Schizosaccharomyces pombe: one gene and its partners. Changing the gene in region 1 together with any one later gene gives a genetic interaction. Each region holds a gene or a part of one and is shown in the gene's direction. Other genes may lie near its edges. The genes, in order: ung1, sgt2, SPOM_SPBCPT2R1.01C and SPOM_SPBC1604.12.

Region 1 (7,611 bases):
TTACTTTCTCTAATATTCGTCTTCTTGATTCTAATGAGTACTTTACCAAAGACTTCCCATTAAGATACAAAATATCGAACACAACGTAATAAGGGCTGTAGGATGAATGAGAGGAAGAATCTTCAAAAATGCTTCTTAAACTTCCGTATGGGATCACTGTTTCCAACACTGGATCCCATGTAACCATTTCTCCATCAAGAATAATTTGTGAAATACGTTTGTCAAATGCTCCAATGATGTATTGTGTCAGCCTAGATTGTTCATCGAAATAACTAGAGCCATAGGCATAAGTGTACGACCTGGCATTTCGACTATAGAATTGGAATTTTCCTGAACTCATGTGTAATTGAATACGCTCCCCGTCTAGCTTTTCTTCAATCCAAAACGGTTTATTTCCCATGGCTTCCAGCGTTTGATGGAGATCCTTTTTTTTGAAATTGGCTAGCTGAGGCTGGAAGCAACTAAAGACTTCCACATCTGTTTCAGTTTCATCAAGAGACCGACTAGGATCATAGAGCTCCCAACAAATTCTCTTTAAGGAGCTACACAGTCGATATAATCGAGCTGCATCAGGATGGAACACAGAAAGTATGAATTTTTCCGATGTTCCGTATTTTCGAACTAAAGAAATAAAAAAGTTAGGTCATAAATAAAGAAATATCATTTCCAACCAACCTTTCAGTAAAATGGGAATTAGCCATCGAAGCTCAAGAGGACTCAAGGATCTATAAAATTGCTCCAAAATATTAACTCGGGTATCCCTTATTAAGGTTAGATACGGTAAAAAATTTAGAACATACTCAGAAGAAGCATCTGCTAATTGATCCAGCAGGGCGTTGACATCACCAACTGTAAAGGCACCAGGAAAGGTCCTGTATGCCCTTCTTTGTAAAATATCTAAATTTTTTTCAGTTAAAATATGATCAGGATCAATTGGAATACAAAAACTATGATGAACACACCCTGCAACATGGTAGAAAAATCTCCAGTATGTTTGGACTCGGATCCTCTCCAATTTTTCAAAGATTTTGCATCTTCAGAAGTAGGACTCAAATGCATAGCCTTGTTAATTAGTCACTGATGTTGCAACTTAATTACTTACTCGAATAAACAGTTTTCCAAGCCCAAATTCCTTGAACCCATATGATCCTCTTTCACGATCCAACTAGAAAATTAGCAATTAGAAATTCAAGACACCGATTAAGACACTTTATGTAATGCGATTTAGTGGTCTAACAATTTTAAGTCGTACATCAGGAAGCACTCCATTAGTTAGTATAAGGAATAAAATACAAATATTAAATTACTTAGTCGAAGTAATGGATAAAGATCTGGTCCTACATGTTGTCGCCATTTATTAAAGTAATCCAAGAGGATTTTGCGCTTTAATTCATAAGGGTCAAGGTTTGATGTTTTGGATTTCCTAGTCTTTCCAATTCTTGATAACGGTTCCAATAATGTTGTAACAAAATCATAGAATTCAAGGGTGCTTGAATGATTTTGAGGTTTCGTAAATACCGTCTCTTTGGCTTCGTCCATATCTTAGGTTTTGGCTTGAAGCAATCGTTTTATAATACAGTTTATGATCAATAATATTTCTCAAATAAATAACCGATAAGAAATAAACATCAATTTAGTCTCATTATCGTGGTAGTGTCAAGTGTGTAGTACGAACACTTCTAATTATCATACATGAAAGCCTGTTCTCTGCAACGATTCGGTGGACAGTATGTTTATGGAGCAGAGAGCTGTTTTCTAATAAGTTAGGTAAAATGACTGTTCTGAATACTACAGATAAGCGTAAAGCTGATGATACCGTTAATAAACTTGACGGGAAATTAAAGCAGCCACGTTTGGATAATTTTTTTAAGACAAACACCTCATCGCCTGCTTTAAAGGATACTCAGGTACTTGATAATAAAGAGAACAACTCTGTCTCAAAGTTCAATAAAGAAAAATGGGCAGAAAATCTTACTCCTGCTCAAAGAAAGCTGTTACAGTAAGTATTGCTTACAATGTAGGCTAGAAAATTGGAAAAGGTTGTTAACCTATTTAGACTAGAAATTGATACTTTGGAGAGTTCTTGGTTTGATGCGTTAAAAGATGAATTTTTAAAGCCATATTTTTTGAATCTGAAAGAGTTTTTGATGAAGGAATGGCAAAGCCAACGTGTATTCCCGCCGAAAGAAGATATCTACTCATGGTCACATCATACTCCACTTCATAAAACCAAGGTCATTCTCTTAGGACAAGATCCTTACCATAACATTGGTCAAGCCCATGGTCTTTGCTTTTCCGTACGTCCAGGAATTCCATGTCCACCAAGTTTGGTCAACATATATAAAGCCATCAAGATCGATTATCCTGATTTTGTTATTCCGAAAACAGGGTACGTTAAAATTATTTAGTCTTTATATTTTTTCTTTCTAAGATTTGGCTTTTTGCTAATGAAGCAGGTATTTAGTTCCTTGGGCTGACCAAGGCATTTTAATGCTCAACGCTAGTTTAACTGTAAGAGCCCATCAAGCTGCTTCTCATTCTGGCAAGGGTTGGGAAACTTTCACTTCTGCTGTCCTGCAAGTTGCGTTGAATCGGAATCGCAAGGGTCTTGTAATTTTAGCATGGGGAACTCCAGCAGCTAAGCGACTTCAAGGTCTTCCTTTGAAAGCACACTATGTACTTAGAAGTGTCCATCCTAGCCCTCTCTCTGCACATCGTGGCTTTTTTGAATGCCACCATTTCAAGAAAACCAATGAGTGGCTCGAAGAGCAGTATGGACCTGAAAAATGCATCAATTGGAGCGCTGTTTCTGAACAAAAAGCAAAAATAAAGTCTAGCGAGTTGGAATCCTCTTCAACTGAGTAGAAAAAGTCAGAAAATAATTGCTCGTTTACTGGATGCTAATAGGTCTAATCAAGCTTTTTATTTTCTTTTGTCATGCTTGCTTTATTATACCACTTGCATGCTTATCTTTATTCTACCTACAATTGGACTTGCTTAATGTGTGTTATTTTTCTATGTCTTTCTTTTCGCAGAGGATTTATTTTTTTTTTGTCTTAACATTTAAATCATTCATTTTAAAGTTTAATATTTATGTCAAATCCATCGTAAACGGCACATTTATTAAAGACTTAATGTAATCAGTGGTAATTTGATTCGTTAGAATAACTCAGTAATTTTCTGGCTTCGATTGAAGTTCGGACAGCAGTTTGGATGCTTCTTAGTTTCCCAATACGTCCTTTTTCTTTTGCCCTGAGATAGTCCAATTCTCTTTTTAATACTTCTGTATCCTGCCTTGCCTTGGCCACCATTTCGTTTGCTTCAGTGAACAGTGAAACCGATAAATCTTCCATTTCTTTCTGACTTTGCTCAAGCAATCCTTCCAACTCTTCTCTTCGTTGAACCTCTCTCGAAAGTTGTTCCTTCAAATGGGTTATTGCTAAAGTATTGGCATTGTTTAATTGTTTATTCGTGCTTTCTTTTAAAGCATTTTCATTCGAATTTTCCTTGTTAGAGATAGAGCTAAAAAGCTTTGAAATTTCTACATGTTAGAAAAAATTGTTTTATATTGTATTGTCATGTTGTCCCTTACGAGAATTGCTCATCATTGTTTCAATTTTTTTTCCTTTCCTATAAAATACTAATTGCTAACTTTTTTTTCAAAAGTACAGTGGTTTAAAGTTGTTTGCTTAGAGAAAATGTCATTTGTTGACACAGTACATATGGCTGTTAACCGTAATATAAATGACAACAAACAGGAGAAAGACTTCGTTAATGTTGAAGAATCATCCGTTTATTATTTTTATCAGTTTGCTTTGTTTCTTTTTTATTTATATTTTTTTGCGTGAATTTTATGAGCAATACATTCAATATACAATTTATGGAACATTGAATCAATTTCACTGAAGAAATAAATTTATTTTATCAATTTCATACAAAAATTTTTTTTACCCAATACAGGAAAGAATTAAGTGAGCCTCATTTCGTTTTTTACAACAAAAATTATCGAACAATAAACGAAAGAAACAAAATGTAACAATTTCTCGGTCCTTGATTTCAAATCAAGATACTTGAGCTATAAAGATGCTTTGAATTTATTATCATATTCTATATGAGCTTCAAGCATATACTTACAATTACAGAGTGCAATTCCTCATTTCATTTTCATGTCCACTGCTATTGTAACCTGCCAAAGTGTAAACAAAACATTCATTCGGGTAGGGTAGGGTTAAAATTGTAAACGAAACACTAATCTAACTAACGAGAGCTTAAAAAAATTGCTGCGAACAATAATAAATAGAAGAGGGTATAAAAACTTACAAGACAATTTTGAACCCTTGAATGCTATAAGTAACGAAAAGAAATAATGGAGGTAAAAATTAATATTTCAAAGGAAATTCGGAAATAACCTTTTCGACGGTCAACATTTAGATTGAGGAGAAGGTTTTTGACATTCACTATCGATGCCATTTCAACTGGTAAGCGCTAAAAACAAGGGTTTACGCAAAATTCTTTTTGTACCTGTGATAAATATTGTATTTCTATTGTAATAGCCAATTTTTTCATCCTATGTATCATGGAAATGTCCGGCGTAATAAACTTACAACCGCGCTGTTCCTAATTTTGTTTCATTGCTACAAAAATTAATCAAAGAAAAAAAATAAACATCCCCAAGCTTCGTAAATTTAGATTTATCGTTTCATTTGCTTGTACCAACAAGCATTCTGGCATTTGCATTATTCATTATGAAATTAATAGTGTATGCAGTGCGAATAACTAAGATAAAAAAAATTAAGAAGAAAAAAAATTAAATTAAATGATCAATTTGTAAGTTTTTCTGTTTTTTGCCATGTACAATCGCATATATTGTTTGTGCACCTTTTTTAAGTTCCTCAACTCTCATATTATTGCGTAGTACAATATTCATCGTTAAAAGAAATTCTCATGATGCGTTACCCTTCCTAGACTATTTCTTTTGTAGCAGCAGCATAAATTTACTCGCTACCAACTACTTTGTATAAAAAGCTTCTTTCTTCCAGTCGTTCTTTCTTTTCAGAAGTTCATAGAAGTAAATGGCTGGAAATAAAAGAAAGAGGAGCAATGCCTCCGAAGGCTCGGATTCCCAAGGGAATGAGAGAATTTCTTCTTTGAGTGCTAACGAGGCAACTCAAGATTTCCCTCGAGGTGGGGCGTCTTCATTGACTCCTTTAGAGTATAAAGAAGCTGTTTTAGAGGCTAAGAAGGACTTTATGGAGTCCGCTTCTGGTACCGCTGAATTGAGTAAAAAAACTCGTCCTAAGAAAAAGGGTAGTAAAAAATCTTCCAAATCCGAATTGGACAACGAAGAAAATTTGAAGGTTCATATTCAAAGCTTAAGATATAAAAATATCACACCCGGCTCTTTAATTTTAGGTCAAATTGCTCAAATAAATACGTTGGACTTGGCCGTCTCATTACCAAACTGTTTGACAGGTTATGTACCTATCACAAATATCTCCGATAAGCTTTCTGATCGTCTGGATAGTATTGACAATCATGCAGAAGATAATGCAGCAACTGAAGAGGAAGACGGTCTTAATCAAATACCGGATTTGATGGATTTGTACAAAGTTGGTCAATGGGTGCGTGTTTCTGTTACAGCCCTTGGCTCGGAAAATACTACAAAAACCGGAAAAAGACACATCGAGCTAAGTCTTAAGCCGCAAGATGCGAACGGTTCTGCTCCTGAGGCTGCGGATTTTGTTGCTGGGTCGATGATACAGGCCGTGGTTTCAAGTATTGAAGATCATGGTATTGTTTTTGATATTGGTATTAATAATTATACTGGTTTTTTATCCAAAAAACACATAAATGATTTCCCTTTTGTTGAAGGCCAAAGTTTATTGTGTTCCGTTATTTCAAAAGAAGATCGAATTTTCCATCTTTCTCTCACTGCGACATCCACTAAGGCGCTTGAGGTTATGCCTTCTGTACAAGCTATTCTTCCTGGTGACTATATAAATGTTTTGGTAACGGACATCAAGGAAAGCGGAGTTATTGCAAAATATATGGGTGTAGTAGATGTCACTAGTGATATTTATCATTCTTCTCCCGTGAAAGGGGAAGATTTAGAAGATAAATTCCAGCTTGCTAAATCTGTTCCTGCTCGCGTTCTTTTTGTGATTCCCGGTGATCCCCCTAAAATTGCAGTATCTTTCTTACCTCACGTGCTTACCTTCAACTTCGCAACTCCCAATACTCCACATCCCGATCAACTAGATATTGGTTTTATCGTCAATGCTGCTAAGGTTACGTATGTATCCTCCTCACTTGGCGTTTTTTGCGATGTTGGTGTACCTGAGATATCCGGATTTGCTCACATTTCACGCCTTTCCGATAAAAAGGTTGCTGGAATTAGTCCCAATTCTGGCCCCTATAAAGTTGATAGCACCCACGAGGCTCGAATCATTAATTACAGTTATGTTGATAATTTATATATCTTGTCATTTCAACAATCTGTATTAAACCAGCAGTTTTTGCGAATAGAGGATATCGAAGTCGGTCAATTTGTCGATGGTACCATTGCGAAGCTTATACCTCAAGGAATCGTGGTAACTATTTCGGAAGGTATAAATGGTTTAGTTCCCTCTACCCATATGGCTGACATAGCCCTACAGTTTCCTGAACGTCGTTTTAAAGTTGGCTCTTCCGTAAAATGCCGTGTTTTAAGTACGAATGTTCTACGAAAGCGTGTCCTCTTAACTCTCAAAAAATCATTACTTAACACAGATTTGCCATTGATATATGACTATGAACAAGCTACCCCAGGAACACAAACAGTTGGAACTCTTGCTCGTATTTTTGAAGATGGAGCTATAGTTGAGTTTTACAACAGTGTCCGTGCTTTTCTTCCCGTTTCGGAAATGAGCGAAGCTTACATTCGTGATGCTAGAGAACACTTTAAAGTTGGGCAAACACTTTCTGTTACTATCGTCAGTTGTGATCCAGAGAATCGTAAAATGCGTGTCGGCTGTCGTGAGCAGAGTTGGGATGCTAAAAGACTTGAAAGATTTGAAAACATAAAAGCGGGTTCCGTACTTTCAGGTATTGTTCTTCAGAAAACCGAAGATTCCGTGATCGTTGATTTAGGAGACAAGGTTACTGGTGTGATTACCCTTGGCCAACTTTGCGATGGAGATTTAAATAAATGCTCTAAAGTCATGAATAAATTAAGAGCTTCTACCAAGCTTGCTGAGGTCTTAGTTCTTCGTAAAGACACCAGTAAAAAGTTGATTTCCTTGTCATTGAAGAAAAGCCTTGTTGAAGCTGCCAAGGAAAATCGGATGCCCATCAATATCACTGATCTTAAAGAAGGTATTAAATATTTTGGATTCGTGCGTAATGCGACTACATTTGGCGTTTTTGTCGAGTTTTGTGACGGTTTAGTAGCATTAGTTCCAAAGGCCTATATATCTGAAGAGTATGTGCCAGTCCCTTCAGCAGTCTATAAACCCCAGCAATCCGTTACCTGTGTGTGTTTGTCCGTAGAGCTTTCACAAGAAAAGGCGTTTATGTCATTTAAGCCTCTTGCGCAGAAACAGGAGAAAGCTGTGGAATTTATGGAAAGCAAGT
Region 2 (7,613 bases), on another chromosome or scaffold:
CGAGCCCAAAAGTCTAGAGAATGCACATAACTCCAGCTTTGAACAGGCTTTCGAGAATCCTTACTAGGTTGATGAATGGTGTTACGAAGAGTAATAGCAAGTTGTCGAATGTAACGGAATCCGATTAAATAACATGATTCAGCGTCCAATAAAAAAAGATTAACAGCACTATTTTTCAGGAAATTAATTTTATCGAGTGTATGAACGGTAGTGTAAGCTGATTGTCGAGCCATACCAAGATAAACCTCTTTTAAAACGAATTCCAGCAGAGTTATGTCAGCTGTCAAGCATAATGTACGAAGCAATACAACAGCTGAAAACCGAACGCTGTCATCACGAGTCGAACTCCATACTTCAACAGTTGCCTGTGTAAACTGTTTAAGGAATTTTCGATAGGTAATCATATAAGGCAATACATTCTGAGCTTCCCGAAGTAGTAAAGAGATATTCTTGGCATCGGTCATCCCTTCTAGCAAACGTAAAATCGAAAATCCATAGGATTTTAACACAGGGCGTAGCTTCGGAAGCACCTTTGAATCAGTGTTTATAAATTTTTTTCCTTTCGCATCCTCTTGAATGGGAACATGATAATTCAACACTTTGGGGACGTACTGGATGGCTAACAACAAGAGGTCATTGAAAACTTTTGAATCGCTAATAGTGTATTTCAAATCTTCAGCCTCCTCCTCATTTAAGAATGCTGCTGCCTTAAACGCTTGCACGACCTTTTGTAGTGTGGTCAATGAATGGTTCGTCTCCAAAAGCTTTTGCCATTGTTGAATTGTATCACTTGTCAGAACGATTTTTCCGCTAGAAGATTTCAAACGTTCATTCTCATCAATTTCCTTCGCCATTGCGTCTGTTTCAGCGGCGTTGAATTCAAGCAAGTCTTGGTCATTCTGCTCAAGGAACTTGTAAAATTCTGGATCCTTTTCCTTTAGGCCTTCCAATTGCTTTTGATAAGATTCCAAGCCATCCTCTTCTTCTTCCGATGATTCAGAGGTAGAGTCTTGTGTATTTTCATTTGGCAAATTTTTTCTTTTTCTTGAGGAACCTGCATCATTCGAATTCGCAGAGTCTAATTCTTCAAATCCGCCTTCCAAAAAAGCATCCATTGACATGGAGTCATCTTCAGAAGGGGTGTCTTCGCTATTCACGTTTTGAATAAACTTTTCTACGTCTCTTTTCAATGTTTCATCTTTTCCCTCCTTTTTAGAATGCTTTTGTCGTATGCCTTTATCAGTGTCTTTCTTTTTTATTTTGTCATTCTTTTTAGCCAAAGCATTAGCTTTTCTGGCTTTTATAATGGAAGATAACTTCACCATGTGTGGTATGTGCACAGAGGTTGTTAGAATACCTCCTTCAAGAATTAGTGCCCACCATACTCAGTCCAAATTTCTTCACAATTTCCACACCAAAGATATGTCCTTAATAATCATACTCCGGCAAATTTATTAAATGTATATTGCTTTGAACAGAATTTTGCTTTTTGAGAATCGTGAGAAACCTTATAGGCCTTATGAATGTGAACAAAAAGCAGGAGTCGATACCAGTAAACACCGGATCTGAAAGTATTTCCTCTAACGACAATGAAAGGTTTGAGCAAGGAAAGGGCGTCGGCTCAAACCTTGGATCCCATTTCTTTGAGCCGGTAGAATACTATTATTCTGATGGTAAACCGATGAATCAAACAGAAGCAAGCCAGATGAAGGGAACCTTTTCTAGAGATTTTTCTTTAAATGAAATGAATAATGAATTTATCACAGATTCTTTCTTTTGTACAACGACTCCTGATCCAAAAACTGAATCTCCCTCTTTTGTGAAATACAATGCCCATTGTGATGACCACCCAGAGATTAGCGGCCATGTGTCCTCGAATGATAAAGACTTTGCATACTTTGAAGATAAATCTGAAAATCAACCACTGGTTACTCTTCCTAACGAGAATAATCAGGTTATTGAACCGTTAAGCTCACAAAGTTGTAAATCTCAATTATCAACCCAAAATTATTCGGAAAGTGATTTTGGTTGGAACCAGCTGTGTGATCTCGATCCTATATTTAAATCTTTGGCTTTTACAGACGATACTAATCTATTCCCTGCATTTGCAGACTCTGAAGCCGCACTGATTATGCTGAAGAAAAGAGAAATGACGAGAGTGAAGCATAGGGCAGGAAGGCCAAGAAAGTATTCGTATGTTAATAAAGATTTGAACTTCGAGGAAGGATTGCCAAGAAGAAGGGGAAGACCTACAGGCTGGAGGAAGTATCCTGAAAAGGAGGAAATATATCCTACTCTGTCTCCAAGGATTAAGAAACCGAGAAAAGTTTTCGATGCTGTAGTCATTCCGGTTACCATAAAACCTAGTATATATACAGAGCCCTCGTTACCTCATCATATCGATTGGAACAATGGTTGTTCTGAGGAATTTGATTTTGAGCCATCAAGAGAGGATGAAGACTTCCCTGATTTAACTTCTGATTCTACTGGTCAAGATCCATTGTCTAGTGAGCCGACTATTTTTGACATTTCTCCATTACCTAGTGATATGGAGCCAACTTTTTCCGAAAATTCATTAATTACCATTAACAAAATGGCAATAGAAGAACGGAAACAATCACGTCGACTTGAGCAACCACTAGCTGAATCTCAACATCAAGAAGATTTGTTGAATCCCTACGGTGTAGATCAAGACTTTGATGAAACTTGCATCAATGAGTCTGAACAACAAGCCACGCATATTCCTAATTCAAGTATTAAATTTAACTATGATTACACTCCCCCTAAGTCTGCTACCTCCCATAAGCATAAGAGGGTCGATCTTCTAGCATCTCGGAAGGAGAATGTTTGGACTGGATTGTATGGGAAAGTACAAACTGAAATGGTTTCCAACAGAGGCGAAGCTGTGTTGAATGAAAATAATAGCAAAAATCGTACTAATGTCACTAAGCCGAATTCATACAAAAACAGTGTTTTATCAATTGGGAATAATCATTCAAACCATTCTAATATTATTAAACCGAACACCTATAAAAATACTATTTTGTCCAATGAGAACAATACTCCAAACTATTCTAATGTCTGTCTTTCTACCTCTTTGATAAATCGAAGCCTTCCATCTCTTAAATCTACTATGCACCCAGGGGTCAACAAAGATTTAATTACGCGGCCATTTAAGAATGTTAATAAAATGTCTGTACGAAAGGCTCTCATTAAACCATTTCATCCTCCGATTTCGAAGATTTCGCGAACCCGCTTAACTGTTTCCTCACCTGAACGGCTGTATTGTGCCAAGCCTATCTCAATGGCTACTGCTCCAAGTGAAACGGATAGCAAACTAATTAACAGAATCCGTAACCTTGAATTAGAAATTGGTGGCTTGAAAGAACAATTATCCGTTGTAGAGCTCGCTCTTGACACTGACAAAAATTCTAAACAGATACAGGTGGTTGAAAGAAAAATCCAAAATTGGCGAAAATCTGCGCAATTAGCAGTCGAAGTGCTATTTCCTGTTTTTTCTTTGAAGTTTACAACCATGCTTCAAGAAGTTCCACAGTCTGTTTTACGCACATCAGCTAATGATTTACGCACCAAGCCATGTTCCATTGGTACGTACCTTGAACAGTTGCAAATACCCTTCCATCTCCTTCAATATAATTCTGAGACAGAAAGCTGGGACCTGGAATAATATATGTTTTTAGTTTTTTCTTTGCTTCCTGTCTGTTGTTTCTATCTATTTTTGTTTTTTTTTGTCATATCAGTATTTTACAGTTCATGATTCACATTAAAGGTACTATAGTTATCTAATGTTATTTTAATAGCAATATAATTAGGAATCAAAAATTCATTTTATTATTTGCATGTTTACGTATATAAAAATCTATAACGGCGCTTGGAATAATTTTGCCCTTCGCGCATCTCACGATATACTTTCAGTAATACGAAAAAAATCGGTTCTTAAAACGATTAGGAAAATGAGCTCTAACAAAGTTACTGCGGCTATTATTGACTATTTGAAGCAAGCTATTACCACCGGTTCGATTTCTGAAGAAGAAAAGGAAAGCTTGGAGGTTGCTGGTATGTGTAACCCCATTTAAGATAATCTAACCAAAATCAGCTCAATGTATTCAAGATTCTTTTAAAATCAAACCAGAAGAAATTAAGCCCAAGTCAGGGGATCGTTTAGTTGCTGCTTTTGAGGAGTACGAAAAACTGCATCCAGTGGAGGAGGATTCCACTGCTCATGTTAATAAAGAAGAGGCTGAGAAATTAAAACTTGAAGGAAATAATGCCATTGCGGCAAAGGATTATCAAAAAGCTTTGGATTTATACACTAAAGCCATAGAAATCGATCCTACCTCTCCAGTTTACTACTCCAATCGTGCAGCCGCGTATAATCAGCTAGGGCAATTCGAAAATGCTGTAGAAGATGCTTTAACATGCTTAAGTTTAGATCCTCATCATGCTCGAGCCTTTGGACGACTTGGTCGTGCCAAATTGTCACTTGGCGATGCAGCAGCGGCAGCTGATGCTTATAAGAAGGGCTTAGACTTTGATCCCAATAATGAGGTTTTAAAGAGAGGTTTGGAAGCTGCTAACAAGCAATTGAATCAACCATCGGATTCATCCGCTACTTCTGGAGCTGACCAAGCTCGCACTTCTGCTGGTGCCGCTCCTGATCTTGGATCCATTTTTGGAGGAGGTATGCCTGATTTAGGTTCTTTGATGAACAATCCTGGTAAGTTTTTTAGTGTATACATTATTCATTGTTAATAAGTGATTTTAGCTGTTATGAACATGGCGCGTAACTTGATGCAATCGGGTGCTTTGAATAATATTATGAATGACCCTAATATTGCCAACATGGCCCGTAACTTTCAATCTGGAGGAGGTATGCCTGACTTGAGTTCTCTTGCCAATAACCCCCAACTGCAAAATTTGGCTCGCAATTTTATGAACAATAACAATAATGGCAACACTGATAACAATAACCAAGGAAATCCTCCCCCTCAATAAAGTATAGGTGTATATTGATTTGTTTGTTTTTGCTTTTCATTCAAGCAGTTTATATCTTGCATTTAAATTCATTTTGAATACTTGAAGAATTGCTTTGACATTTTTTAGTACCTTGCATATACAATCATTCTGCTAATCAATCATATTGTACATGTTTGTTAAGATTACCGTATTTACAGTAGCGTTTGCATCGTTTTTCGTATTATTTTTAAATAGTTCATCTAATTTTTATTGATAATTTTACAATAGCTTTCGTTGTATGAAAATAAGGACTTCATTAAACAATTCTTTTGAAATAATTCAATCCCCTTGACCCATCTCTTCTGTGCTTTCTTCTGCAGGTTCCGTCTCTGAGTTTGTTGATGTAAACAAGCTTCCAAAAAATGAACGTAGTCGGGTCATCACCGGAGTTCCATCTTCTGATTCTTCACCAACCTCCGATTCAATCTGTTGTAGCAATTGTTCAGCAGGAGGAAGATCAAACTCATGAGCAGGGGGTTCTTCCTCATTTTCATTAACTTCTCTTGCTCTGGATAAATAATCGGACAAGAACGACGCAATTCGACGAGATATATCTCTACCAAAGACTTGTGACTCGCTTAAATATGTATCAGGAGGTAGAGGATCAAAGGATAAAATAGTTCCTTGCAAGATTCTCTGTGGTAGAAATTTTCTCAAGCTTTGCTCATTTAACAGGATAACACGCCTAGAGAGATTTTCAGTGAGTTCTGCGAATTGTCCTTCTACATCGTGCAGGGTCACGGTTTCTTTTTCAAGAATGGAATTAATGAATGCTAATACCGTAGGATCAGACCAGCTATCCTTAGCATATAAAGCATACATAGCAGAATGTAACTCTTGAACTGGATCTTGAGGGGATGGAATAGAGGATTTTGTGAAAGAGATATTCAAAGTGTCCAACAATTCACTTAGCATGTAAGGTGCACGTTCAAAGGCGGCAAGCATACTCGCTCGTGTGTCGGTAGTATCACCATGTACGTAAAACATGGCAAGTGCTGACGAATATAACATATTTGGCGTGTCCGAAATTTTGTTTGAATTTTCCAGGTAATTCGCAAAATCAATTATCCAAGCAAATTCTCTTCGACGAAGTGCATATATATCAATACAAGTACCAATTGCGTAGGGGTCTGACATGTCGAACTGCAGTAAAGCTTTACAAAACTCAAAGACGGTTCTCCAACAACCCCGGCTTTGTAGACTTTGTAAATATCTCCAAATACAGAGGAAAAGACGCCGATTAGAAGGGATGGCAAAAGGAAGCCGCGTGGCACCAGTTGCAAGATTAAATCTAGGATGAAGAATACTGTCGAAAGCATAAAGACCGCGGGCAACAAGCTCTGCTGACAGTTCATGATCGCCCTGCTGATCTATTATTTCAGAAACTTGTAATAACGTGTCTATATGAAAAGGATGGGAGCGTAAAAGCATAAGTAGGTTATTAGGGTCATAGGTTTGCACGTAATACTCGAATGTCTCTTGAACTTCCTGGTAAGCACGACTCTGAGTGATTTCAAAAAAGCACTCTAAGTCTTGTGACTGACCGGTAAGTTTCATTCCAAGTCCAGATCTTACTAAAGGAGGCCATCCTTCTTGAGGCTGTACTAAAACATGGCGTTTCCTCCGCAGGTTATCATGTCGAGCGTTGACCGAACGTTTCTCAACGATGCGGCCAAAAATCTTACGTATTTCAAGATCAGGATTTAACATACTAATATTTACACCCAATAACTTATTCAATTTTTCATCAAGTTCTTTATCTAACGGGATAGTAGCAGATTCTTCGACACCAGCAACATGCTCAACCTGATCTTGCTCACGATATTTAAGTTTTAATTCAGCAGCAGCCTTTTCTATTTCATCAATATCATCATCAATGTTTTTGCTTGATTCAAGTCCCTCCAATTTCTCATTATCAGAAGATTGATTATCTAAATCACGCTTTCCAGTGACTTTCTTCTTCTTCTGCTGCTTTTTCTTTTTCTTTTTATTTTTTGCTTTCTTATTTGTAGAGACAATTGGAGACTCGCCTTCTACTAATGGTTCATCCTGCTCTTCCTCAGAAACACTTTTTTCTGCCTCTGAGTTAATAGCATTATTTTCTTTTTCGAGAATTTCGAACACGTTTACTACTTTTTTCCCGGAAGTTGAAGAAAACTCGTCATCCTCATCAGATTCACTGTCTAAAGCTTCTTCCAATAGCTCGGTTTGTCTTTGACGCTGAAGTTTCCGTAAAGCTCGTGAAGACATGAGAATGGTTTGTGGTAGACTAGAATGGCAGATGTAAGAATTTAACTCAGACCTATGAAAACACACCTCAATTTCAAGAACTTTTCGGTATGCTAAATTAATATATAACATACAGAAAATATTTCATTTTAAGACTGTTAGCAGTGAAGAATATTACGTTTCGTAGTTAAAAGGCGTTAAGGAAAATACAAGCCGGGAGCAACAATGATGTACAGAATATGTAATTAAAATCTAAGTAATAGAATTTTGCAATTGTGGGGTGGTAAACCGTTTTTACATATTTGTGGTTCATGGTTTATTGGAATTTTTGCTGATCGCAATAGGTT
Region 3 (7,331 bases), on another chromosome or scaffold:
AATTTATGGCATTTAGAATTATTTTTATTATTACGTTTGATTAGTTTTGTTCACAACTAGCAATATGTCTAAATAACTTATCGTGTAAAGTTGATAGAGCAAATAGAACACGTAGCTCAGAAAACACAATTCCTCTAATTTAATCCTCCCAAGTCCACGACATACCCACTACAGGTTGGTCTCTCGACTGATGGATAGAGAGTCTATCAATCTTGTATTCTTAGCGGTGAACCACCACCATCCAAAAAACTAGTGAACTACTTATATCTTAGTAATGAGTCGAGTAACAAACTTTTTACGATAATGATACTATGAAGAAGCATCTACCAGTTGTGCATATGTCAAAATAGCGTTATAATTTTATAACATCACACAAATATATTAATCGAATAGTCCTAAGTCACACCGTAGTTGACAAAGCGGCGTTGCTAGTTCCATAAGTAATATTTGTACGAGCATATACGATTAATTGATTCGTAAAATATGATCTTTTTATGCTAATACTATTATTCATTACTGTCTACCATATTTTGTAGTTCATCATTATTTTATTTATACAATTACTAGCTTTGATTTTTGAATTGTTATTTGGTTATTGATAGCAATTGATATTAAACGCTTATTCTTTAATATTATTGCACATACATCGTATTTACTGAATATGCCGGATAAAAACAACAGACTTGTGTCCCCGTGATCTAATAAGTTTAGTTATGTGCATCTTAAATACCGGCACAATTATGATGTGGAAAGCAGTAAAAAACATTTCCATATCAGTATTCGTACTTATTGCTGAAGAAGACATATAATTCTGATTTATTTCTGCAGATACATGTATTCATGAAACCTAATGTAAAATAACAATCATCTCCGGCGCAATCGTCAATGCACTAAGAAGAATTCATAATCTATGTCGCTAGTCCCACGCTTGCTTAGTTCAACAGATCGCATCAAGTTCTGCTTGACAAAGTGATTGTATGGTATTCCGTTAAGTAAATTGCAAGCAGGTAAAGATGTCAATCCGGAAAAAGATCGAAAACTAACATGACCAGTAATATTGTTACGTCGTTCACAATCAATAAGTGCTCTAAATTTTACTTCAATGAGATTCCTAATTGTCAAAGGCATCAATCAATACGGTAGTATTGCGTACTGTTTTGGAATAATTCATAAGTGACAAATGTAGTTCTAATCTCAAAACAATAGAGAAGTATGAAGAAAGGTTGAATTGCAGTATTTGATTCCTAGTATCGTACTGAGTTGGAAGTTGTTGGTACGAGTAGTACTAGCAATAAATCACAGTGATATAATACGTTGTAGAAGTAGAGCATTACAATTCTACAGATAATATGAGAGTATAGTATACGAAATAATCAAATTGTAAATATATGTGATGATAAAATATTGAGTTCTACTGATCTTTTCTAATAGTCGCTTTCAATGGGTATTTTTGAAATAGACATGTAGCCTTCCGCAATTATTGGCGAAGAAATCTTGGTATTTTAGGTATGGCATATGGTGATGCACAACGAGTATATCAAGGTGTAGTGTAGTGTAGTGTAGTAATATTGCTGACGTTTACTATTGTTAGCTGATACTAATAAAACAACATTACTGATAATATAGTGTGCGTGTTATTACTTTAGTATTATCGTTTTGAATGTTTGTCAACTTTCAATGATGTAGGAACAGAAAAGCGGTAGCTAAAAATAATATCGATAGTGTTCAGTTTCCAATGGAAACTTTTAAGCTGTACTTAGATAATGAAATGATATAAGAGCAAACAGATGTATAGCTTTTTTTTTTAGGTTTTTTGAAATAAATTAATGAAGAAATATTATTGAAATTTAAACATAAATATACTAGCTACTAATAAAAAACCGACAAAATATATTGTTTCAAAGAGCAATAGTTAAACATGTAATCATTTTCAAGCTTAAAAATGGCGACATATAACCATGTTTATCGAATATGTATGTAATGTATGTAACGGTTTGCTTCTTTCAATTTTTTTTGTTATTTTTATGACTGAATGTCAAATACTTTATAAAGAAATTGTTAATCATGATAGATTCAGTCCACCAGTAGTACACAAAGTCAGCTGCCGCTTCAGTTGGAAGGAATAACAATCAATATGTCGATTCTGTGAATCTTTCCTTAGTAGGATGACTGAATGCTTTACCGGAATTAAAGGGACTGAACATTTTTTAACTGCTGTATTAAATACTACTTTTACATATCGCTGTCAATCTTGCAACAGTTACGCTATACTATTAAGACAATGAAGTTAATGCTTCTCTTAATCCTTATAAGTTTTCATTTTTCTTCATTTATCGTAGGTATTACCCTCTATGCTACATTTCCAATTTAAACTTTACACAATTAACTTGGGTTGTTTTTAATTGTTTTAAAACTTCAAGTGTTGATCTTTATTATGGACAATGGGATGCAATATTAACACCCAGATCCTCTATCACTAACACATACTCTACGCATTCCAGCAGAACCAGGTATAACGCCTGATACTTCAGGGTGGGTGTTTGCTCTTGATTGAGAACAATCATCGATAATAAGCCAAAACATCACATGCTAGATCTCAGTAAGACACGCTTTTACTACCAAAGGTTTGTATAACATTACCCCCCCCAATCACCTCTATAGTCGGCTGCTAACGTGGCTCCACCTCGGGCTCCAACAGCATTGGCTCCAGTGTCACAGTCATATGTGCTTGCCATATTTGTACTATGACATTGTGTGGTGTATCGGTCTCGCTTCTTCAGCAGTGGTAATCCATTAAGCACATCATCTGTCAAGTTGATTATCCATGTAGCATCATCCGCAGATTGAGTTACCAAAGTTCTGAGTAGAACTATCCTGGAAATCTCTCCGTCATTATAAAGTTCATGGAGATCAATCAATAACTCGTGAGTAACGTTATTAGTTGAATTGCTTATAAGCGGATTATCGATATATATATGGTTCATTAATGCAGTCATCTTGCTAGCATTATATAATTCATTTACGATATATCTGAATTCATAGTGCTGTGTAGTGTTATCTGGAGGAAATTGGGCTACCCAGATTACAGCTGGAGCGTCTTCGAGGTCAGTTGGAAAGCAACTGATTAGTGTAACCAACGATAGATAGCAACGTAACTAATAATAGCAATCTCATCGGTAAAATATTAAAAAGAGGATGAAGATAGTTCCAAATTTCTATGATATTGACGTTCTCTTGATCGCTATATATTACTAAGCCTCAGAGCATACAAACACCTACTTACTGCGGAACGAAAATAAGGGTTATAGGATAATCCTTTGTATGATCCCCTGGATTAAGCATAATCTCCTATACAATGTATGTAGGTCAACAATACTACTAAATACTACTACGTTGAATAACACCATACGTCAAGTGTTCTATATTTGCTCTATTAACTTTCCACTCTGAGTTATAGAGATAGACATATTACTAATTATGCAGGATATTTAGAAAAATTTTTAAATGCTATAAATTGAGAAAAACTGAAAAATAAAGAACGAGGTTCAGCAATAAGCTACAGCTACTTTAGTGATTAGGTAACAATTTAATTCATATATAAAAATATCAATAGCAGATGCTACTTGTATTACTGTGTACTGTAATATACTAGGTCACAAGGAAAACACATCGTACTTAAACGTATCGTTAAACAGATACCAAACTGCGTAGCTGTTAAATTGTGAAAAGAAAAAAGTTGTAAGGATTACGAGATGCCAACATCATAATGCTTTTCCTAAATAAATGAGACACCTCAGAACGTAAAACATTCACCATTTTGGTTTTTTTTTTTTAATTTTCTCGTTTATGGCTTAAAATATTTTAGTATATTTTCTTTTTTATTTTCCATAAACCACTCTTTTTAATTTTACTTTGGGGAAAAATACTAGTGAATCAGAAGTCATCAAATTACAGTGCTGTCGTTCTATTCCAATGTCAAATCCAGAAAGCTTGAAAAAACAGGTTGAACCTCCTGGTTACAATGAGTTATTTATGGTGGAAGATGTTTGTAATGTGGACCTAGAGCAGGGACTTGATTTGTGTAAGCCTGAAAAGGTAAACAAACAATCTCAACGATCTCGACAATCCCGACAATCCCTCTTTACCAACACCATTAAGCCTCAAAAAGACAAGATGAATATTAAAACAAATAAAATAAAAGAGTTTTTAAATGACCTTTTTACTGAATTTTCTAAATTCCACAATAGCTATTATCCTGATGGAAGGATTTCTACCCGCAGTAATTTTCGTTGGCCCTTGCTTATTATTTGGTCTATTATCATTGTATTCGCAGTAGACAAAAAGTTCGAAGTCCAAAAGTTTCTTTCAATTTGGATAAATGAAAATCGGTTCTACAGTGAAATTTGGGTGCCTATTGCTATTTACGTTTGTTTGCTTGTTTTAATGTTACTTAGTTTAATTTGTATGTTTCCTTTATAGTGATGCTTTTTTTCTTTTTTTTTGCTAATAATTTAAAATAGTCTTTGCAGAGTTTGCGGTACTTGCTTTACGGGTGACCGGTGTGATTATAGCAGTCTTGGGTATGATTATAGCAGTCTTGGGAATGATTATAGCAGCCCTGGGTGCAACTATAACTGGCCTTTTGTATTTTGGTCATTGGGCTCTTTACAAACTTGTAATATTGTCTTTAGGCTTTAAAATTGTGACACCAGGAGACGTCTGTGTTTCTAACACTCTTCCTACACATAACGGAGAAACAGCATTACATTCAGAAACAACAGTTGGTTCTGATATTGAACAAATAGAACTACAAAATATGCCTACTCCTGTGAAAAAATAATTTTCTTTATCGTTTTCATGATCATATAGAATATAACTATTCTTAACAATGTTCGAATTGACTGTCCTGTCCAAATCATGCACATAAGGTGCGTTCGTTATGAATTTCAATTATGGAACCAAACCAAATTATGGTTTTAATTAAGATATTATCACTTAATGTAACTAATGTTTTTATCTTTCGTTTCATAATTATTCAAATACTAAAAATGACTTTTTTATATATTTTTTTTTTAAAAGCTTAAAATATATTATATTAAATAAAAAATTTCGAATTGAACCAATTTGGACTCCCACTTGTGTTTCAAAAACTCCATTTCATCTACTTTAACCCAAAATTCAGCGTCATATTCACTACAGGAAAGGAGTTTTATTCATTATCTGTTAGTAGAAACAATTTGGTTTCAATTTTTTATGACGAAAATGCTTCGAGTTAATTTAAGGCTTTGTTTGAAATATAATTCGTTTAGTGATTATTCGCTTAGTGATTATAGATATCGTTCTAATTTTCAAATTACAAAATACTAAACAGCTTTATTTGAATAAACAGTAAAAGATTCTAAATCTTTGGACTACTTTTAAATGGTTGACAGACCAGAAAAATTTGAGAAAGAAAGTTTTATAACAAATCGTCTTATTATCTATCTTGCCTAAAAGGAGTGATCAACCTTGAATGACAGAATTTATTTTAGGTCGATAATGGTTGGACGGTGGTGTGGTGTATGCTTGCTAAGCGAAAATATTGCAGGACATAAGTTAGACGAATTGAATTTTCTACGTTATAATCTGTTCTGGCGCTTGCTCGCAATCGTAAAAACAAACTATTGAAATTAAAAAAAAAAAAAAAAGATTGGTAGTGTACATGCTGAATTTCAATCTATGCTTTAAATTAATAATTGCTAAATTCAAAAAAAAACGAATGCTATCTCTTTATCCACTGGTCATTACCAGTTTTTTTTTTTTTTGCTATATTTTTCTTTTAAAAAGCTTCTGTATTCTCGGGATATTACCAACGGCGTTATTAACTCAATCATCGAATGAAGTACGAGTACTAACGGAATAGAACTAGTCAACGGTGAATGACTTTATCTTTCACGTTCCATACTTAACAGATTTTTTATTATATTCAGTAACTTGTGCTTGTACAATTTAAATCTTGAAGTAAAGGTATGATGCGTGAACAAACCATTTATTTGTGTTCTTTTCCCTCCAATCTTCCCAATGTTTTAACGCTAACGTTATGCAACGTGGAGCACGGTAACTCCAAAACGAAAGATATAAAAGGCTAATCATTCCTGATCTGCTTTTCCCTTGAGCAAGCATCATTTACCAACTTTTTTAAAGATGCGTCTTCATAAAACACTAGCATTGCTGTTATGCAACCTAGTTCTCCATACTCTAGTTAAAGGTGAAGTAGACGCCAAAGCAGTATCTATTACTACATAAAAGGAAAACTCTACCTTGTCAAACCATAATGGACTGCCTAAAGAAGCCAAAAAGCTCACTCTTAAGTGCAGTTGGTTCATTGTGGAGGAATCTAACGGTGCCAGAATACATGCTAATTTTTTTGCACAAAGCTTCGATAAAAGAGAAATTGCTTTGTCTTTTTTTGAAGCAAATGAATGGCAAAATATAATTGGCTGGAATGATCAAGTTGAGGAGATGATTGACTTTGTAAAATCAAGAGACACGGTGATCCAAAAATCTTTTTTTGAGGAATTTAATTCCCAAAACCGAGAGATGGGATCATTTGCATATTCTGGTAACTCGGAATCGGTATGGACGGGCGAAAATATTACAAGTATATGGAAAACTATTTTGATTAATGAAACGGGTTCTTACTGCGTAGCTGCGAGACCAATGACAATGGATGGAGCTGAATTTAATTTAGACCTTATGGGGTATTCGGTTTCAGAAGATCAAATTAATAATGACGAAATTGGCATTTGGAACTATATTTCTGTAGCTGAAATGGGAGGAGTACTATTATTTTTGAGCTATTGGATATGGACTTGTTTACATTTCAGCAAGATTATATTTCCTGCTCAAAAGGTAATCTGCCTTTATATTTTTCTTTTTGCGTTAAATCAGACTCTACAAGAATGCATTGAGGAGTATGTTTTTTCTTCCGAATGTATAAAATACAGACAATTTTATTCGGTGTATGAAATAATTGATTTTCTTCGGACAAATTTTTATCGATTATTTGTGATTTACTGTGCATTGGGTTTCGGCATAACTAGAACTGTTCCTAAATATCTTATGATAAAAGGAATTAGTATTGTCATTGCTTTATGTTCTGTATACTGGATTTCTTTATATAAAGACGTATATGTAGTATCAGAGATTTTTGACATGATCCAGTATGAGGTATCTCCTGCAATTTGGGTGTATTCTATTTGTCATTTATTGAAACAATGCACGTCTGTAACAACTTACGAAAATGCTTCAAAAGCCAGATTTTTTAGAAGAATGCTAAATGCATTTATCTT
Region 4 (9,327 bases), on another chromosome or scaffold:
GGTCCATCAGAAAGATAGGAGATGGCCCAGCACGCGTCAACAATAATCTCAACGTCTTCAGAATAAAGGAGCTTAGCAAGGATTGGAACGGCTACAGAAATAGTTGACCAGTTAGGTGGTGGATTTTTGCCTCTACACAAGTTAGAAAGTGTCCATGTAGCGTTACGGAGCATAGAAACATCAGAAGCGCTACTCTGAAGAATATTAAGTAAAGGCTGTAAAACTCCGTTACCGAGTACATAGTCACGGCAGGCAGAAGAATCGCCAGCTATGTTACCGAGGGCCCATACAACCTGCTCACGGACATCTTTTTCAGGTGAAGAAAGTAATTGAATAAAACGAGGAACAGCGCCGGAATCAACAACAATACGGGTTTGATCTGTGGTACCACTAGCGATATTTGTTAAGGCCCAAGCCGCTTCAAATTGAAGCAAGTGATGTTCACTTTCTAAAAATTGTACGAACCGGTCAACAACACCACAAGCAATTACCTGATCAATAGGGGGATGCGTCTCCTTAGAAAGATATTTCCTGAATTTCGTGACGGCACCTAATTGTAGCTCAATGTCGTCTGACATCACATCAGCTGTCAATTTAGGAAATTCATCTTTCATTTGTTGCTCCATTTGAACCTGAGACTGATCAGCCTCCTCTTCCACATCAATGTCATTTTGTAAAACAGCGTTTAAATTCCTTCGTTTATTCAAACTTTCCTCACGTTTTTGTTTGCGGATTTCAATTTGCTGTTCTTCACGTTGCCGACGAAGTTCATCAGCTTTGAAAACACCTTTGCTTTTAAAACGGCTTCTTCTATCTGATAAATATCTCGATTCCATTTCTATAGGAATAAACTTTTTTGATATCCTTTTTACTCTTTTTTTTTTAGTTATCTAAGACAGTTGTGGTTGCTGCGAGTTTAATGAGAATAAGGAGGTAAAAGAGCACTTGTGTCGTTCCAAGAAGCAGCCGGCACCCAGGTAACAATGTTCAAAAATAATAAATTTAGAATAATTTGAAATATATCATTTTCCGGTTCAAATCGTTGAAACTTTCTAGATCATTTTTGTTCTGTCATTGGAAACCTTCGCACCATAAAACGGGTAAAACAACATGCTTATTGAGCTCATCAACCAATTTTTCTTGGGTTTTTAACAAGCTGAATGCTATAACAAGAATTCAAAATTTAAAAACAAATGGAATTTTTCTTTAAACAACCTGTCAAGTTGGCCTATTTTTATTTTTATTTTGATTATATAATACATATAGTTGAGCAATTTAATCTTTGAATAAATACTTATTTTTCAAACACTTCCGTATCTGTTTTGTAAGCTATTAATATGTATACATTAATGGTCCATTGTCTAACTAGAATTTATTTGGTAGCTATTATTAATATATATATTTTTTATTTTTTTTGTGATAATAAAGATTAATTCGGTATTTATATAAATTTAGGAATTAACTTAACGGCGCTTGAAAACATATTATCGTCATTCAGTTAAAATGCTCTAAATCATATACACTATAGGAAGTAATCTAATTATATAACATTAACTTTATTAATTCACAAAGTAATTATGAAGACCATATAAACGAAGCTGATAAATCTCTATATCCTTGTTTTTTCCATACATTATTTCTTTCCTTCAGTTGTATGCATCATTTATTTATACTAAAAATTATTAATAGATTGACTATTTAAAACCAGAAACGAAGGAAACAGAAGAGATAAATAAAGAAAGAAAACCAACGATTTCATAAGAGCCAATGAAAACAATATTGCTGTTATAAGCAACCGAAAATATATTTAACATCTGACACATATCCAGTAAAATTATAAGAAACATTTTCTTGCATATTATTAAACCCAAATCCCAAATGACCAGAACGAAGTCTAGTGATTCAAAGCTTATGACTTTGACAAACCTTTGAATGCAACTTCATCCATTTCTTTTTTTACTTTCTTATATAATTCCATCGTTGCTTGGGCATCCTGGACGGAAGAATGCTGTCCAGATTGAATGTCACGCCCAAGAATCACTTCAGCAAGTTTTTTAAGCCCTGGTGTCCTTCCCTTGGCTAATTTCCGATACCCAGAAAATCTGCTGGTATCACGAATCATTCTTCTTGGATGCGATAAAAGTAGTACTTTGAGATCGTTATGGACAGCATGTCCAACCAATACTCGATTGTCGAGTATCTTAGCAACTTCTGCTTGTACTTTTTCAAATGAAGGTGCATCCCGCATGTGAAATGACTTGACACCACTGACCCATGTTCTCCAATCCGTAACCTTTTCTTTAGGACGGACATAAGTATCATACACGACATGACCATGATAATTAACTATACTGACGCGTGCAAGAACTGACATGTCATCTGCCACCCCAACCATTTCACAATCCATTGCAATATATTTCCCCAATGTTTCCAAATTGGTTTTTCTGGTAAGCTTGGAAGCATCCACGCCATATGCGTCAAGGACTTGAGATTCAGGGATATCATTTTCCTTAGCAAATTTCTTTAATTCATTCATGCGTTTTTTATCGACGATATAAGAATTCTCATTCTCATTGTTTTTACCTTTCACACTTTTAAGGTATTTCTTTTCATTAGAATGCTTTTTTTCAACCCGTCCACTCTTAGCGCTGTCGAGTTTCTAAACAACCAATACCGTTAGTATACTTAAACAAGAATCTTAAATGACTTAATGGAAACTATAGCCTTTCATACCTTCTTTAACTTTTCCCAATTGGAAGAAGACATTGCTTGTGCATAAGAGCCAAAGTTGGTGCAAGAAGCAATTTGCAACCTCTTTCAATATGATTCTCAACGCGGTATCACAAATATTTTATCACATTTTAGCACATTTCATTATTTTGAATAAAGCGTTGATGATAGTACGTTACGTTAAGTATCATTATATAAGTCACATGCCTTGTATTTATTTATCTATAGTATATATACATATATTGACAGTGATGCACCATTTGTTGCTTCTTGATGTAACTACTGCCAAATATACGAGACTATGAAATAAATTAACCTCCGTTCTTCGGGTCACCAATGAGCTATTTCAGTGTGTACCCACTTCGTAAGAATATTATAAGGTACCGGTGGTTAATGCATTTCCTAATAAAAGAATATTGTGAATATTCAAGACCCGTAGTAGCATATTCGTTAAACATTTAGTGATTTATGTTTGCTTAAAAGGATAGATTGTATTGAATTTGTAGCATTGTCCGCTATCTTTTTAAAAGCAGAGTACTGCAATTTTAATAACAATGCACCTTCACGTAATATGAAAACACTCAGAATGAATGGATTATCAAAAAGGTACTGAAAGGGGTGGGACTCGAACCCACGAGCTTTCGCACTAGTGCCTTAAACTAGCTCCATAACCACTCGGACACCCTTCCACGATCAAAAATATAATAAATATGTCGAATGTATTACTATTATCATTGTTTTTCTATGTTAATTAAAAATACTTAGCTGATTCTGTAGTTTCTGTAGTTTATTTTTTTTCGCTTTCCATTAATTTTTTTTTAAATTTTATGTACTGTTTTATGTTAAATTTCTTTTGCTTATGTCAAGCGTGATTCTAGCTTAATTCTTTTTCCCGATTGCTAGACAGTCGGTTTTTAGGTCGATACATTACAATTACAAACAATGTCATAAAATCAAAAGCTGTGCATAATAAATATCCGATGCTGAAATAACAGAAAAGTTAATTAGCGATTTATTGTTCTTGACATTTGCGCTTCAACAATTGTTACCTGCATCATGGACCTTCAACAACTTGCGACTTTCAACTCTTTTTAACTCATATTACACCTACATAAAAAAATGGCATGTAGGTGTACTCAGCTTCAAGATACAATTGATGAGGTAATGGGACTAGTTTTCTTTTTCTATTCTAACCTATGTAGGTTGCCACACAATTTTACTCTTCCATTCATTATTTAAGTTCTCATCATGATTTCGTTCCTTTACCTGGTCAAGAAAAGGTTTCTGATTCTAAAGGTATACAAGATTCATTATGATGCTATTCAAAGTAGCTACTAACAAATTATTAGTGAACCCAATTTCTGCTGAAGAGTTACAATGTACGATATTAGACGTCCTCTAGTCATTTTATGTGCTAACTTCTTTTTGTAGTCGCTCAAAGGGATCTAGCAAAAGACTTGGTTACAAAATTTATGCAAATAGACACTTTGATCAACCAACTTCCAGGTATTTCCACTGCACCAAAACATCAATTAGAGAAAATTAAAAAGTTACAAAACTCCATTGAAGAAAAACAATTGGAGAGGAAGAGTTTAGAATCAGAAAATGAAGATTTAAAATTACAATTGGCCAAGAGGATTGAAACATTTGGCCGGTTATCATGTGTCCTATTTCAGCCCTGATGATAATATGTAAGCAAAATATGCATACTAGCATACTCTTCTAGTTGCCAGATTTATTGAAGTTTTAAAATATCTTTGTCTGAGCTAAGAAAGAAGATGTGATCGCTGGAAGTGGGCTTATCATACGGGCAGCCTTAGATATACTGTTTTGACAAATGATTCCATTTTTATTAACGAGCTAATCTTTTTGAATCGATTTACATAAATATCTATCTACTTGTAGTTTTTAGAATGCCTTTACTTCATGCTGACGAGTACTTGACTGAAGTAACTAATTGTGAAAGCAGCTATGAAGTCTTAAAAAATAAACTAATAACAAACAGAATTTGAAAAGTAAAAAAATAGCAAATTAGCAAGGATAGTTTCTTATAGAAGAAAGAAAAAAATCCCTGATTTTTTAGAACGTTTAACGAAATTTACAAAACAATACGCTATTTTTGTTTAAGAAAAAAAAAATCCATTAACCATTCATTGCAAGTTCCTTTGCTATATACGACGGGAATTGAACATCACCATATTCACTTTAACTTAATTGTAATCATGGCTCCATTTCCTTTGAAATCGTTTATTCCCCCTCAAGTAGCGAATCCTACAGTAAGATTAATTAAAAAAGTGATAAATATAAACGAAAATCTAACTAAGATAGGCTTTGAATGCTTTTCCTAGCTCTGCTAGGATGGGAAGAATTGTCGATTTTTATTCCCGCTTACCGCATGGACCAGCTCCTAAAAAGAGCTCAAACAGTTTCTTTAGTTGGTACTATAAAAAGTATCTTGGGAAGAATGCTAGCGGTGCTCCTTTGCTACATTTGGTCGGCGCTGTTTTGGTATTTTCTTATGCCAGCGAATATTACTATCATATCCGTCATCATGAAGAACATTAAGCTCAAATGTTATGCTCCCTTTACTTAAAACCTACAATTATGAACACAATTTTTCTAGGTCTTATTTTTCAAACGTAGTCCAAGAGATCATCTCATTTTGTTGATTTCTTGTTTATGTTTAAGAAAGTTAGTAACTACAAAGCTGTTTATCGTTTATAAATGGTCAATCTTAATAACAATAGGGATTCTTAGTCTAACGGGAACAGTCTTAAACCTGATTTTGACAGAGCGTTATTGGATCTGAGTTCCACTAACAATGGTATGTCATTACAAAGGTTTGTTCTATCTTTTTGTTGAGTGTGCCCCTTATATGCCAAGTTTCTCTTAACAACATTAAGATTCTTGATGTCGCTCCCTTCTCTCAATCTTCTTTAGCAAAGCTTAATTACTTTAGTTCTTTAAAGTTGTGTAGCTAAAATCCATTATTCTATTTAATTTAGGTAGTTTGACTTGTAAAAAGTTGAACGTGTGTACATGTAATTTGATGTATTTCTATTATTTTGTAAGACTTTTCCTTTATTTATGACATTATTTTATATACTTTTACTCATTAACAGTGAAGCGAGCATACTTCGCATACGGTGCGTTAACGCTCCACCCAGAGAAAGCCCCTACCTCTCTGCTTCTTCAAAACACCATTTGTGTACCACACATTCCGGTTAACGGAGAAAAACGTCTCTATCAATAGGTCATGGAGAGAATTCAAGAAAATGACCCTATTATAAAATCAGCAGATGAAAGCAAGGAAAGTCCGGCGGAAACGTTATCTTCAATATTTAAGCGACCGAAAATTAAGTCTTCTTCACTGAACAAGGCGTATTTAGGGAAGGCAGGATCGGTGAATGGAGCGAGTAATACTTCGACAAATCAAATATCCTCTTTGAAAGTCGATGTCTCTTCTCCACCTTCAACGGCTCCTGGTTCGGCAGGATCCACTCCGAAAACTACGCCCGTTTCTTTAAATGCTGGCGTGCCACCTTCAAATACTGGCGCAAATATTACAACAAATTCAAATAATAACGCGCAAACTATTTCTTCTTCGTCGCAGTCTGTTGGGCACATCGACAACCCGAGTGGTTTAGGCACCCATGGCAAAGTTCGTTTATCCATAAAACTTAGTACTGGAGGATCTGGAGGGAGCTCTGTTACTGGAAAAAGGACTGCTCCAGGAAATCCTTGGGCAATTCGTTCTGCTGAGAGATTGGCCTCTAACCCAACCTCTATTGGGACTTCTTCTCCTGAAAGCATTGACAATAACTCCAATAACAAGAAAAGCGCCCCTTCCTTATATGCAGCAGCAGCAGCTTCGGCTGCTCGCCATTCTATGTCGGCTGCCTATGCATCTTTTACTGGGACGGTTTATGATTCCAATGGCAATGTCATTAAAGGACTAGATACTTCTAGTTCTCTCTCTTCTTCTTCTCATCCATCTCATGAAGCCCTTTCAACTATAGATACAAAGAATCTTCAAGCCCTTGCCGCCTCTGCGGCTCCCTCTTCTTGTCGCCAGCAACCTGTTGATGAAGAGCGACAAGACCGTGTTAGCAAAATTTCTAAACATTTTCAAGATTCAGGCACCCCTGTTTCAGAAGAAGTATCTCCTACAAGACTTCCTTCTCCAACCAGTGCTCGCCGAGCATCTCACTTATCAGAAGGTAAATGGGATGAAATTGACGACGAAGACGATGACGATTGGGGAAGCACAATTGAATTTGAGGATGGAACTACTGTCGTGATTGATGCGAAAACGAGGAGGTATGAGCCAGTGAAACGTCAAGACACTCTTGCTTCAAATCATGTCCCTTCTGCACCCTCGAATGAATCTGTATCTTCTGCGGCTCCATCCAAAATCCCTGTTCCAGAAGAAGCTAGTATTAATGAACACTCTAATATTACAGATGAGGCCGTTTCACTGCCTGAACCTGTTTACCCTAATGCTCCAACTAGCGCTGTATCTGTGCATAACCCCACGATTTCTGATGAAGCTGAACCAACTGAAAGGGCATTTCTGAAGAAAGAAAAACCTCAAATATCAAAGGAGAAGAAAAACCCTAATGTCACTCATGAGGAATTTGTTGAAAAATCTACGGCATTGCCAAGACATATCAATAAAGTAGAAATCGTCAGCGATTCAAGTGAAAGTTTTGCCCACAAAAATAATGAAAAACGTTTTGACAAAGAAGCTTCTGGTCGTATCAACGACCTTCGCGCAGAGCAACAGCAAATTATGCTCGAAGCTCGCCAGAAAGCAATTGAAAGGCGGAGGAATGAAGAAGAAGAACTTGCTCGATCACGAGAACGAGCCCGTAAAAAAGCTGAAGAAATAAAGATATCATCATCAAAGATGAATTCCTCACCCACTATTACTAATGAGCGGTCTTCCAATGTCGAGTCTAGCAAAAAAGTTGAAGCAATATACACTAAAGAGCCTCAGTCTATTACCAATAGTCCCGAAGGACTACATAGTAACCAAGAGACAACAGAAATTGATCCTTCTAGCCCCAGAGATGATTCTACTCCGCTTTCATGGAGAAGTCATAGTCATCCAATTCCTCCTGTTCAAGTCTCGCCTTTATTTACGTCGGATAAAAATGATCCTTTACAGTTGAATCCCCAATCTGATGATAGTACTTCTTCCCCGAAACATGGAAAGTCTCGGAGTATTGATGAAGTTATTTTAAGTATAAAGGATGTCATTTTTGACAATAACTTATATAAACAGAGATCCTATCAAAGTGGGGTGGCCGCAAATGCTCATTTACCCCATCGTGTCCCCAACGAACATGGAGGAGTTTCACGCATTGGCAATTCTAATGCTCTCGGTCAACCTGTTTCTTCATCCTCTTCTTACAGCCACTCCAAAGGTCGTGATACCAGAAGTAGTAGTTATGTAGTATCCTCGGAAACGAGCTCTTTAAAATCATCGAGATTGATACTTAGTCATGCAAATTCTGTTCGAATTCAGCGATCGAAGGGCGATGTTATTTTGAATTTACATTTGCCTAAAGTGAACCCGGAGCGGTTTCTTCCTACTAAATCATTAAAATTAGAGGAAATGAAACCATTAGAGGAGAAGGTTCCTATATACCGCTCATCTTCCAAACAACCCCTTCGAATTCATCCTACTCATCCACTGCGTGTAACTGTTTGTCTTCCAGGTAGCAAGACAATTCAAGTGGCTCGTCGCTCTTTTCGTAATTCAATGAACGCTAATCGTTATGATCCTCAACGCCGAGAACGAATTGATTCCGGTTTATGGAGGGCGAAAAACTAGCTTGGTTTTTTCTTATTGTTATCGTTTATGTATACTTTACATGAGATTATAGTCTCTTTTGTGTTTTCGATGCATTTAATATTATTTACACGCTTACAACATAAACGTGTATTGAAAAAGGATGAAAGCTAAGAGATATATTCAGCTTTTTTGTTATTTTTTCACTCTAAATTCTTTTGCATAATATATGATATTTATACTCAACCGTACATAGTCAACAAATAAAATTAAGTAAAAAAATTCTTTGTTATACGCGTATTTTTAAAAAGGGTGTAGTTCATTAATCGTAATACTGAAAAAATTTAAGTAGTGCGAGCAGATTCAATTCACTAACTGCAATACTATTACATGAAACAACCTTATATTTAATGTTAAGTCCATTTTTTTTCTTAAAATAAAGATTTGCAGCATCACTAAATCAGTGAAGAAATGCTTAATGCCCTTCATTCGTTAAATTCTCGACGAATATTTCTAAAACAGTGAGAACATAAATGATGTGCCAATTTAAAAGACCCGCAAATAGGACAACGATTAACTGTTTTGTCTTTTAATGCTTTTCCGGACAGTAAGCGACTTCGTTTCTTAGTATAAGAAGTTTTTTTCTTTGGAACAGCAAGCAAAATGGAATTCCATATATTAGCTATTGAAGGGGGGGAAATAAATATCCTCAAAGAAATATGAGGAAGGGCGCTAGCTTGAAAAACTGATAACATTTTTTGGCTAATTGCCAAAGAATTTCCTCTTAAAAGAGCCATTTT

Evidence for each region.
Region 2: mutations in ung1 (region 1) and sgt2 together harm fitness more than expected from each alone (negative genetic interaction), as found in Schizosaccharomyces pombe (one large-scale study listed by BioGRID).
Region 3: mutations in ung1 (region 1) and SPOM_SPBCPT2R1.01C together harm fitness less than expected from each alone (positive genetic interaction), as found in Schizosaccharomyces pombe (one large-scale study listed by BioGRID).
Region 4: mutations in ung1 (region 1) and SPOM_SPBC1604.12 together harm fitness more than expected from each alone (negative genetic interaction), as found in Schizosaccharomyces pombe (one large-scale study listed by BioGRID).

The regions. Positions count from the first base shown.
Region 1 is NC_003421.2:601,265-608,875, forward strand, and holds ung1 (uracil DNA N-glycosylase Ung1), read left to right. Parts: upstream 1-1,709; 5' UTR 1,710-1,772; coding exon 1,773-1,999; intron 2,000-2,056; coding exon 2,057-2,389; intron 2,390-2,456; coding exon 2,457-2,865; 3' UTR 2,866-3,140; downstream 3,141-7,611. Other genes in the region: DNA repair ligase Lig4, read right to left, coding at 1-621, 676-761, 801-897, 963-1,062, 1,103-1,165, 1,253-1,263, 1,308-1,539; protein Spo13, read right to left, coding at 3,141-3,541, 3,593-3,608; U3 snoRNP-associated protein Rrp5, read left to right, coding at 5,073-7,611. UniProt on the Schizosaccharomyces pombe protein: Excises uracil residues from the DNA which can arise as a result of misincorporation of dUMP residues by DNA polymerase or due to deamination of cytosine.
Region 2 is NC_003424.3:3,625,248-3,632,860, reverse strand, and holds sgt2 (SGT2 family TPR repeat-containing protein), read left to right. Parts: upstream 1-3,905; 5' UTR 3,906-3,974; coding exon 3,975-4,077; exon of another isoform or gene 4,078-4,117; coding exon 4,118-4,738; exon of another isoform or gene 4,739-4,786; coding exon 4,787-5,016; 3' UTR 5,017-5,186; downstream 5,187-7,613. Other genes in the region: noc201 (Noc complex Noc2 family subunit), read right to left, coding at 1-1,325; DNA recombination mediator Swi2, read left to right, coding at 1,520-3,688; protein Rqc1, read right to left, coding at 5,317-7,287.
Region 3 is NC_003423.3:4,504,115-4,511,445, reverse strand, and holds SPOM_SPBCPT2R1.01C (uncharacterized protein), read left to right. Parts: upstream 1-3,972; coding exon 3,973-4,462; intron 4,463-4,520; coding exon 4,521-4,840; 3' UTR 4,841-4,929; downstream 4,930-7,331. Other genes in the region: SPOM_SPBCPT2R1.02 (uncharacterized protein), read right to left, coding at 2,637-2,996; SPOM_SPBPB2B2.19C (transmembrane helix domain-containing protein), read left to right, coding at 6,502-7,331.
Region 4 is NC_003423.3:3,908,135-3,917,461, reverse strand, and holds SPOM_SPBC1604.12 (uncharacterized protein), read left to right. Parts: upstream 1-5,916; 5' UTR 5,917-5,986; coding exon 5,987-8,569; 3' UTR 8,570-8,827; downstream 8,828-9,327. Other genes in the region: importin alpha family nuclear import signal receptor adaptor Imp1, read right to left, coding at 1-836; exoribonuclease Rex4, read right to left, coding at 1,910-2,659, 2,734-2,766; srb7 (mediator complex subunit Med21), read left to right, coding at 3,850-3,891, 3,933-4,026, 4,080-4,109, 4,162-4,412; atp17 (F0-ATPase subunit F), read left to right, coding at 4,953-5,006, 5,059-5,295; mrpl32 (mitochondrial 54S ribosomal protein bL32m), read right to left, coding at 9,013-9,324.